Linked DNA regions of Coturnix japonica. The protein of the gene in region 2 binds, or shares a complex with, the protein of the main gene of each other region. Links are inferred from orthologs where the notes say so. Each region holds a gene or a part of one and is shown on either strand. Other genes may lie near its edges.

Region 1 (4,220 bases), on a different chromosome or scaffold from region 2:
AAAAGAAGACAGCGTTAAACATTAAACAAACACATGCTAAGATTCATCTGTGTATTTCTCCCAGCTGACTTATTTACTTTTCTAACACAACTAAAGCACACATGCTCCAACCAAACTCAAAAGGCCATTTAGGTGACTACCAAACACTGGGTAATGAATCATAGAATCATAGTATCACCAAGGTTGGAAAAGACCTAAAAGATCATCCAGTCCAACCGTTCACCTATTACTAATAGCTCCCACTAAACCATGTCCCTCAACACAACATCTTCCCTTGAACACTCCCAGGGTCGGTGATTCCACCACCTCCCTGGGCAGTGCATTCCAGTGCCTGACCACCCTTCCTGAGAAGTAATACTTCCAAATGTCCAGCCTGAATCTCCCCTGCTGTAGCTTGAAACTATTCCCTCTGGTCCTATCACTAATGACACGAGAGAAGAGGCCGACCCCCAGCTCACTACAACCTCCCAACATAACTCAGGAAGTTATGGAGAGCAATGAGGTCCCCCCTGAGCCTCCTCTTCTCCAGGCTGAACATACCCAGCTCCTTCAGCCTCTCCTCATCTGCTTGCTGTGTACAAATTTCCAGTTCCTGTCACCCTCCAAAGCATATAACCAGATCTTGCAGGGTGTCACTGACTTATATCTTATTGCATAGGAATAATTAAAAGCTTTGTTTTAGGACAAAAGCATCCCCATACCTCTTTCACTCCCCGTTTGTACCAGTCTCCTGAGGAGCTGTACTGCTTCTGCTTCTCTGGCTGAGGCCTCTGATGCTTTAGCGTAGGTCTTTTGGAAGGATCTATGTACCACGGGACCGAAGATATGTACTGAGGAATGTGAGGGTTGATATCTCTGTAAAAGGAGATATGAAATTAATACACGGCACAGGAAAAACCACCGCACAATTTAGCTTAATTAACCTCATGTTAAGCTCAGCTTCACAACTCTGTAACCACATAAGCCTACTTTACAAACCGAGCTGTGTTACAGAACTTACTTTCCTTCCTCATCCACCTCAGCAGGCGCGTTCCCCAGCTTCCTCTGCTCCTCCAGCTCCTTCTTTTTCCTCCAATCCTCCCTCGTCATCTTCTTCGGCTCCTCCATACTCACATCTCCCGGCCCTCCCGAAGGAGCCGCGTTTACCGCCGTCCCAGACGCCATTTTACTTCCTCCTAAAACACTAAAAAACCGCACGCGTTCCGAACCGAACCGATCCCACGAGCCTCCCCCCGGTTACCCCTCATAGCCCAGAGCCTCCACCCAGCCATACCGGGCACAACGACCACCCAACACCCCAGCAAAGCCCACCCGGTCCCGCACCTCCACTCCCTGTTTACCAACTAGGCCGCACCGAGACCCCGCCCCTTGACTGCCAGGGCAACGAGGAGCCGGAACTCGGTAGTCACCAATGGGGCGGCTGAGCGTTAATCGAAAGCGGCCTATGGGAGCAGCGGGGCGGGTGTAGAGGCTGGTTGTGCTTATCGCTATCCCTGCTCTTCTCCTCGCTCTGCTGCTCCCAAATCGGCTTTTCCCGCAGGTAAGTGTGCTGTTTTTCCTCCATGTTTTCTTTCTGGCCTGTTGAGCGATCCTTCTGCCCTAAAGAAGGGCGGGCCTGCGAGGCGTTGCTTGGCCGCCCAGTGCACGGTGCCGTGTTATCAACCGCCATATCTAATACTGGCCCTGTGCTCAGTCCAAGCTGCCATCATCATTCCTAGCATACATCAAAAACTTGCTGTTTCTATTAGCAAGAACTGCCAAGATCTTCTGTCTGCCTTTCCAGGGTGGTCTCATCAGCCCAGAGATGACGACGCTGATCTTTGTGGATAAGGAGGATGGTGAAGTTGGTGCTACTAAGAACCAGTTAAGACGCCCTTCGGTATCATGTGAGTATATGCTCCATGGAGACAGCGTGGGATGGAGTAAAGTGCGTGTCCTGGGTTTTGTTAATCACTGTTTTGAACAGGAACAACAAAATGGGTTAAGCAGATAAATAGTAAAACTAAGTTTATCAGCTATTACAAATATGAAAATCACCTGTCTTTTGAGCTTATACTTTTGATCTAGAAGTGGAGAACAACAATTAGCTTTCTAGCACACACACTTCATTAGAAGCAAGCTTTAGGGTTGACAAGGTGCTAAAGCTTGCTTTCCTTTCCTGTCTGCAGCAAAAGCCTTATCAGAAAGAACACAAGTCAATACTCCACTTCTAAAAAAAGCAATCAGAACTCCAGCCACATCTCACTCTGTCAGAAAGGCTCTTGGAAATGTGAACAGAACTGTAGGAGTTACAAGCAAGAAGGAACAGAAGAAAGATAAAAATCAGCCTTGCAGTGCAAAGAAAGTGAGTACAACCCTTCTGTAATGGATGGGAATCAGAGGAATGCATGATGTACCTACAACAGCTTAGGGAACACACAAGGGCAATGAAGTAACTCTAGACAAAATATTGGCTGTGTTACTGTCTTGTTCATATTCTATTTAGTGGGAGTTTATTGTTATGAGCCTAAATATCATACTGCAGAGATTTGTTGCCACTGTGTACCATCATACAAGTTCAACTGAAGCATTTTCCCTTTTGCAGCTTATTTGTATCAAAGGTGTTAAAATCCAGGTTTACAGGCACAGAAAGGGTACTACACTGAGAAAACACGACAGCACAAATAACTTGACTTCTTCATTTTAAGGTTGCTGAAAAGGCTGTTGGATTAGCAAGCTGGGATGGAGGGGGTGATGAAGCTTACCCAGAAATAGAAAACATGTTTCCTTTTGATCCTCAAGGTAAGAACTCTTGGGGTAATTATTAAAACCTAATTGGACTTTGATTAAGTGTTGATGCTGCAAGACTTCCACTGAGCTGTTGTGGTGACTAAGCTGGTATTACATTTCTCCAGAGTCCTTTCTTAAACATAAGGGCATTCAATATTTTGGAAGCATGACCTTGTTCTTGTTTGAGTGTTTTAAATATACGTATTGCTTGATATAGTTGACACAGCATAGGGATTAGAAAAATTCCTTAAAACTCTTGCTTTATAATGACTGTTACATACACTTCAGATAAGCATTAGCATACAAAATTGCATGGACACTAATAAGTAACTGTAACTAAGCACTCCATAAGAAGGAACTGTTGGACTGAGTTGTCCTGGAACTACTCCCATTTCACTTAATCAAGGACAACTTGCAGCTTCACATGCTATTGTGCGCTGTTACTAAACTACAGCGTGTCTTTCCTAAACAGACTTTGAGAGTTTTGATGTTACTGAAGAGGATAAACTAAGTGATATCAAGCTGCGTGGTGTTCCTCTCATGATATTCCCAAGTACTTATGACAAACCTGTGGACCTAGCTTCTTCACCTATAAAGCTTGAAAAGATGCCATGGGAGTCTGGTAAGTGGAAAATTAGCCTGAGGTTCAGCGCATATTAGTGATTTAGGAAGGAAGTGAGTTTGTTGCAGTAGTGAACAACTATTGCTCTTGTAAGTGCAAGAGCAGGATGCTTATCTCAAAGAGCACTCTGTATGTAACTGAGCTGAATTTAACTGGTCATCTCTACTGGCATGGGTAGTGGTCTCGAAGCTGCACTGCCATGTAACTTTCTGTAATATATTTCTAACTCATCATAGCCATTCAAGAGGCTTATGCTAATCCACCAGCAGCCAGCTGGAGTGTAAACTTCTGGATTTTATGAGTAATTGATCTCCTCTATTTCTAACTTTCAGACTTGCTAGAACCACCTGCTGACTTCATCTCTACGCTGGATTACGTCATTGATATGCCGCCTATGGACTATGACTTCTAAAAAGCATACTCTGAAGTTTCTGTTGAATTTTATGTTTATAAATAAAGGTTACTTTAACTTGTGAAATAAAACTTACCTTGCTTTTTCTTTCAGTAGAGCTAATATGCTGCACACCCAAGATGTAGGCATTTTACTATCTGACAGGCTATTAAAACAAAACTTAGTCTTGCTTAAAAGCTCATCTATAATTCAGTGTTCTGAACTGTATCCAGATATTAATATATGAATCTTCAAGTCACAAGTATAGATTCAATTTCTTAGCACTGTTATTGTTCTAGTTCTTTTCAGTAATCATGGAAAACAAGTGAGGTTTAGAGGTGGCATTATTCATAGTTGCCTGCTGTTACCACAGTGGATAAAAGTTGGTTTGAGGTGCTTAATGAAAGCTGGAATATGGGGGCCCTCACTACAAGAAAG
Region 2 (4,105 bases):
CGGTTTCGCCGAGTCCCGCCCACCTCCTCGTAGCTCGCTGCTGATTGGCTCCGAGGCGGGACGGGAAGAGCAACGCCGCCTCCCATTGGACGAGCCACTCGTGGCAGGTGAAAGACGCGCTGCGATTGGTCCGAGGGTGGCATCAACTCTGATCGCTGCATCTCGGTTGGGATGAAGTTCGGAGCTCAGTGACCTCGAGATCAGGCATTTCCAAGCGGGACAAGAGTTCGGCCCGTTGTCTGTTAAATCATTGTCTGTCAGATCATTGTCTGTCAGCCCATTGCCGGCCCATTGTCGGCCCATTTTCGGCCCATTGTCAGCCCATTGCCGGCCCACTGTTGCTCCTCCACCATCACCCCCAACACCTTATTCCGAACCCTCTGATCCCCCACAACGGCTCCTCTTGTCCCAAAGAGAGCCGTGACAGCCAGAGAAGCTCTTAAGGACATCGAAGGGGAACGTGCTGGTGCCCTCTGTTAACATGTGATGCTCTCTGTTAAGGTATTGATGTCTTCTGTTAAGGTATTGATGCTCTCTGTCAGCCTTTAGTCCAGTTCTGCCCGCTGTGTGGATCCCATCTCACGGGCTCCACCAAATCAGTGCAGTTTTCCTGTTGTTCGTGTTTCTTTTCATAGAATCATAGAATTTCCCAGGTTGGAAAAGACCTCGAAGATCATCACGTCCAACCTCCGCCTAATCATAGCACCATAACTAACAACCCTCTGCTAAATCATATCCCTGAGCACCACATCCAAACGGCTCTTAAACACATCCAGGGATGGCGATTCAACCACCTCTCTGTTTAGCCTATTCCAGTGCTTAACTACCCTTTCTATGAAGAAGTTCTTCCTAACATCCAACCTAAACTTGCCCTGGCACAACTTGAGGCCATTTCCCCTCATCCCGTCACTTGTTGCTAGTGAGAAGAGACCAGCCCCACTCTCACTGTAAGCACCTTTCAGATACTGGAAGAGGGTGATAATGTCTCCCCTCAACCTTCTTTTCCCCAGCACAAACAGCCCCATCTCCCTCAGCCTCTGCTCATAGGGCTGATTCTCCAAGCCCTTCCCCAGCCCTGCTGCCCTTCTCAGGACCTTCTCCAGCACCTCCATGTCCTTTTTGTACTGAGGTGCCCAAAACTGAACACAGCACTCGAGGTGAGGCCTCACCAATGCTGAATACAGGGCAGGATGACTTCCCTGGTCCTGCTCACCATTCCTGGTACAAGCCAGGATGCCATTGGCCCTTTTGGCTCATATTCAGCCCACTGTCCATCAGCACAACAAGGTCCCTTTCCATCAGGCAGCTTTCCAGCCACAACACCTCAACCCTGTAGGGCTGCCAGGGGTTGTTATGACCAAAATGCAGGACCCGACATTGGTCCTATTGAAACTCGTGCCGTTAACCTTGGCCCATCCAGTTCCCTCTGCAGTGGATACAGCAGCACACGCTGATAAGGACACGTTATCACACGTTGTGTGCCCGTTCCTCCCGTCCGGGCTGTGTGGGCAGCGCTGAGCAGCGATAACATCCCAAGGACGGAGCAGCGCAGGGGAGGGACGGGGCGGCAGCGCAGCCCCATAACGGCGGAGCTCCGTTCCGTTCTATTCCATTCCGGTCCGTTCTGTTCCGGTCCGTTCCGCAGCTCCAGCCTCACACAGCCCCTCCTGCCGGGCCCGACCCGCTCCGCTTTCCTCGGTCCCGGTCTCGGTCTCGGTCTCGTTCTCGGTCTCGGTCCCGGTCTCGGTCTCGGTCCCGGTCCCGGTTCCGGTCCCGGGGCGGAGCTCAGCACTACAAGTCCCGGCGTCCCCCCGTTGCGCGCTGATTGGCTGCGGGACAGACTTGAATGGGGCGCGTGGCGGGGCTGGAGCTCAGTTAGAGGCGGCGGCGGCGGGGACGGAGTGAGTCCGAACCGGGGGGAGCGGGGGGTTTGGGTACCTATAGGGGGGGTGGGGGGAGAGGAGGGATGGGGGAGAAGGGATGGAGGAGCCTGCGGGGCCCTGGGGGCTGGGAACGAGGAGTTGGAGGGAGCGGGTGCGGGGGGAGTTTAAGGAGGCCCCGGGGTGGGGGTGGGGGGGGCAGTGGGAGTCTGGGGCGTTAGGATAAGGGTGGTGTAAGAGTGGGGCTGGGTGTGGGGCTGCGGTCAATGAAACGGGGAGCTGATGGCACAGAGGGGGCTTCAGTCCTTGGGGAGGCTGAGGATTGGGAATGGGGGGGATTGGCGAACCTTGGGGGGGAGAGAAGAGCCTGCTGGGTGGATTGATGTGGGGGGGATGGATGTGTGCCCTAAGGAATGGCTTTTGGAGGAGAGAGGGGGGTCTGATACCTGAGGGCCGCTGGGGGGCTGTGGGGTGGTGGAGAGGGGGGGTGGGAGAGAGGAGAGAACGGGGCTCAGGGGGTCCCTGAGCACTGAGAGGGCAGCCCTTGAGTGGTGGGAAATGGGAGTTCAGGCTGGGGGGGTTTCACGCAGTGGGACATCTCTGCCCCCCCCTTCCTTCTCACCTCACTCCCCCATCTCTGTCTCCCCAGTGCTGCCATGAAACGCCTCAAAGGTGCCAACTTCGTGTCCCGCACCGCCAGCCTGGAGAGCACAGAGGAGCTGCTGACTGAGCTGCTGGTGAGCTGAGGGGGGTTGGGGGGGTCCCACCTCTTTGCTGAGCGACCCCTGATTGCACACTCGTTCCCTCTTTCTGCTCCCCTACAGCAATGCCTCTCCAGCAGCACAGCAGTGCAGGGCAGTGCACAGAGCACAGTGTGCGACCGCATCCTGCGGGCCTGCGTGCAGCGCGTGGGGGAGCCCAGCTGCGACCTCACACACACCAACGCAGTGATGGCCTTGGCCGAGGCAGCCTGCAGGGGCTTTGTCTGCAGCAGCACTGCCCCGCCGACCCCTCTGTACCTGGAGAAGATCCTCTTCCACCTGCTGAAGAACATGGCTGCCCGTGGCTATCGTGACGCCTGCAGGAGGGCAGCGGAACTCATCCTCGCTCAGCTCCGCGCTCACCAGCAGCACCACGCGCCGTCACCCAACTTCAGTGCTATTGCCCACAGCTGCTTCTCCACGCTGTGGGGCACCAAGGGGACGCTGCGGGACCGCCTGCAGGCCCTGCGCTTCGTGCTGCTGCTGGAGGATGAGGAGGGGGCCGCGCTGCCCCTGGTGCCGCCCTTCTTCACCTCGCAGGTTGCCCGGCAGCTGGTGGCTGTGGCCTCCACTCTCTCCAAAGCCTCCCAGGCTCCGTCCTTGTCTTGCCTTGGCCGGGAGCTGCAGGGTGTCCTGACCTCCCTCCGTGAGGACATGGCGCGGCCGCCCTCTCTGCCGCAGGCCCTTTGCTTGTTGGAGCTGCTGTTGGAGCAGTGCCGGCAGCTCTGCAGGGGAGGCTGCTATGGGGAGGCGGAGGCGGCTGTGAGAGATGCACGAGGATTCCTGGGGGGCTCCAAGGTGTGCAGCGAGGCCCTGGCCCTGCTGGAGGCTGGCGTGCAGCTGAGCCGGGTGCTGGCCCAGAAGGTGGGCTCAGCAGGGCCGGCCCTGGCGCAGGCAGCGGCAGCGCTGGGTGGTGCAGGGAAGGTCTCGGGGCGCATCCTCAGGGTGCTGGCTGAGGGCTGCCAACTTGTCACCATGTCCCTCAGTGAACGTGCCAGGAGCAGCCAGCAGCAGCCGCTGCCTCCGGAGGATGTGCTGCAGCTCTGTGCCTTCGTGGAAGGGCACTGCCGTGTCCTTGGCCTGCTGCTGGCCATGGTAAGGCTTTGGGGGTTAATGAGAGCTCTCCTGTTAATTAGGAGCGCTGGAGGCCTTGTAGCCCTGCCAGCAGTGTCCCGCTTCCCAATGGTCATGCTGCTGTTGTGGCCTCGCAGTTGACTTTCTCCTTCCTCCTTCAGGTTCCTCCTGATGGCACAAAGCAGCGGCTTGTGCTGAAGCAGCTGCTGCACCGCAGCCTCCAGCTCTTCACCAGCTTTGCCTGCGATACCTTCCGCTCCTCCCAGGTACTGCTGGTGATGGGGGCAGCATCCAATGGGGCTCACAGAAGCTCCTGGAGCTGCCCCAGAGATGTGCCCTCAGTCCCTGCAGGGCTCTCCATGGGACCCCCATCCCTCTGACTGCATCCCT

What was found. Proteins that work in one complex are often made in the same cells at the same time.
Region 1: the proteins of ESPL1 (region 2) and PTTG1 are in contact, whole or in part, in a cryo-EM structure (PDB 7NJ1), measured with the Homo sapiens proteins. The link is inferred for Coturnix japonica from reciprocal best matches to the Homo sapiens genes ESPL1 and PTTG1. Residues at the interface, in NP_036423.4 of Homo sapiens: His402, Thr405, Val406, Tyr409, Ser461, Asn462, Tyr465, Tyr468, Arg505, Arg508, Glu512, Glu544, Thr547, Phe548, Arg551, Gln590, Lys593, Ala594, Val595, Arg596, Thr599, Gly600, Arg603, Gln634, Cys637, Tyr638, Trp683, Ile686, Glu690, Ile697; in NP_001269311.1 of Homo sapiens: Tyr111, Pro112, Glu113, Ile114, Glu115, Lys116, Phe117, Phe118, Pro119, Phe120, Asn121, Pro122, Leu123, Phe125, Glu126, Ser127, Phe128, Asp129, Leu130, Pro131, Glu132, Glu133, His134, Gln135, Ile136, Ala137, His138, Leu139, Pro140, Leu141.

What each region holds. Positions count from the first base shown.
Region 1 is NC_029528.1:9,901,552-9,905,771, reverse strand, and holds PTTG1 (securin), read left to right. Parts: upstream 1-1,420; 5' UTR 1,421-1,540; intron 1,541-1,783; 5' UTR 1,784-1,804; coding exon 1,805-1,886; intron 1,887-2,168; coding exon 2,169-2,344; intron 2,345-2,687; coding exon 2,688-2,781; intron 2,782-3,241; coding exon 3,242-3,391; intron 3,392-3,723; coding exon 3,724-3,803; 3' UTR 3,804-3,874; downstream 3,875-4,220. Other genes in the region: pre-mRNA-splicing factor SLU7, read right to left, coding at 702-855, 1,001-1,164. UniProt on the Homo sapiens protein: Regulatory protein, which plays a central role in chromosome stability, in the p53/TP53 pathway, and DNA repair. Probably acts by blocking the action of key proteins.
Region 2 is NW_015439867.1:541,804-545,908, reverse strand, and holds the start of ESPL1 (separin), read left to right. Parts: upstream 1-1,305; 5' UTR 1,306-1,901; intron 1,902-2,529; 5' UTR 2,530-2,536; coding exon 2,537-2,617; intron 2,618-2,704; coding exon 2,705-3,736; intron 3,737-3,876; coding exon 3,877-3,981; intron 3,982-4,105. UniProt on the Homo sapiens protein: Caspase-like protease, which plays a central role in the chromosome segregation by cleaving the SCC1/RAD21 subunit of the cohesin complex at the onset of anaphase. During most of the cell cycle, it is inactivated by different mechanisms.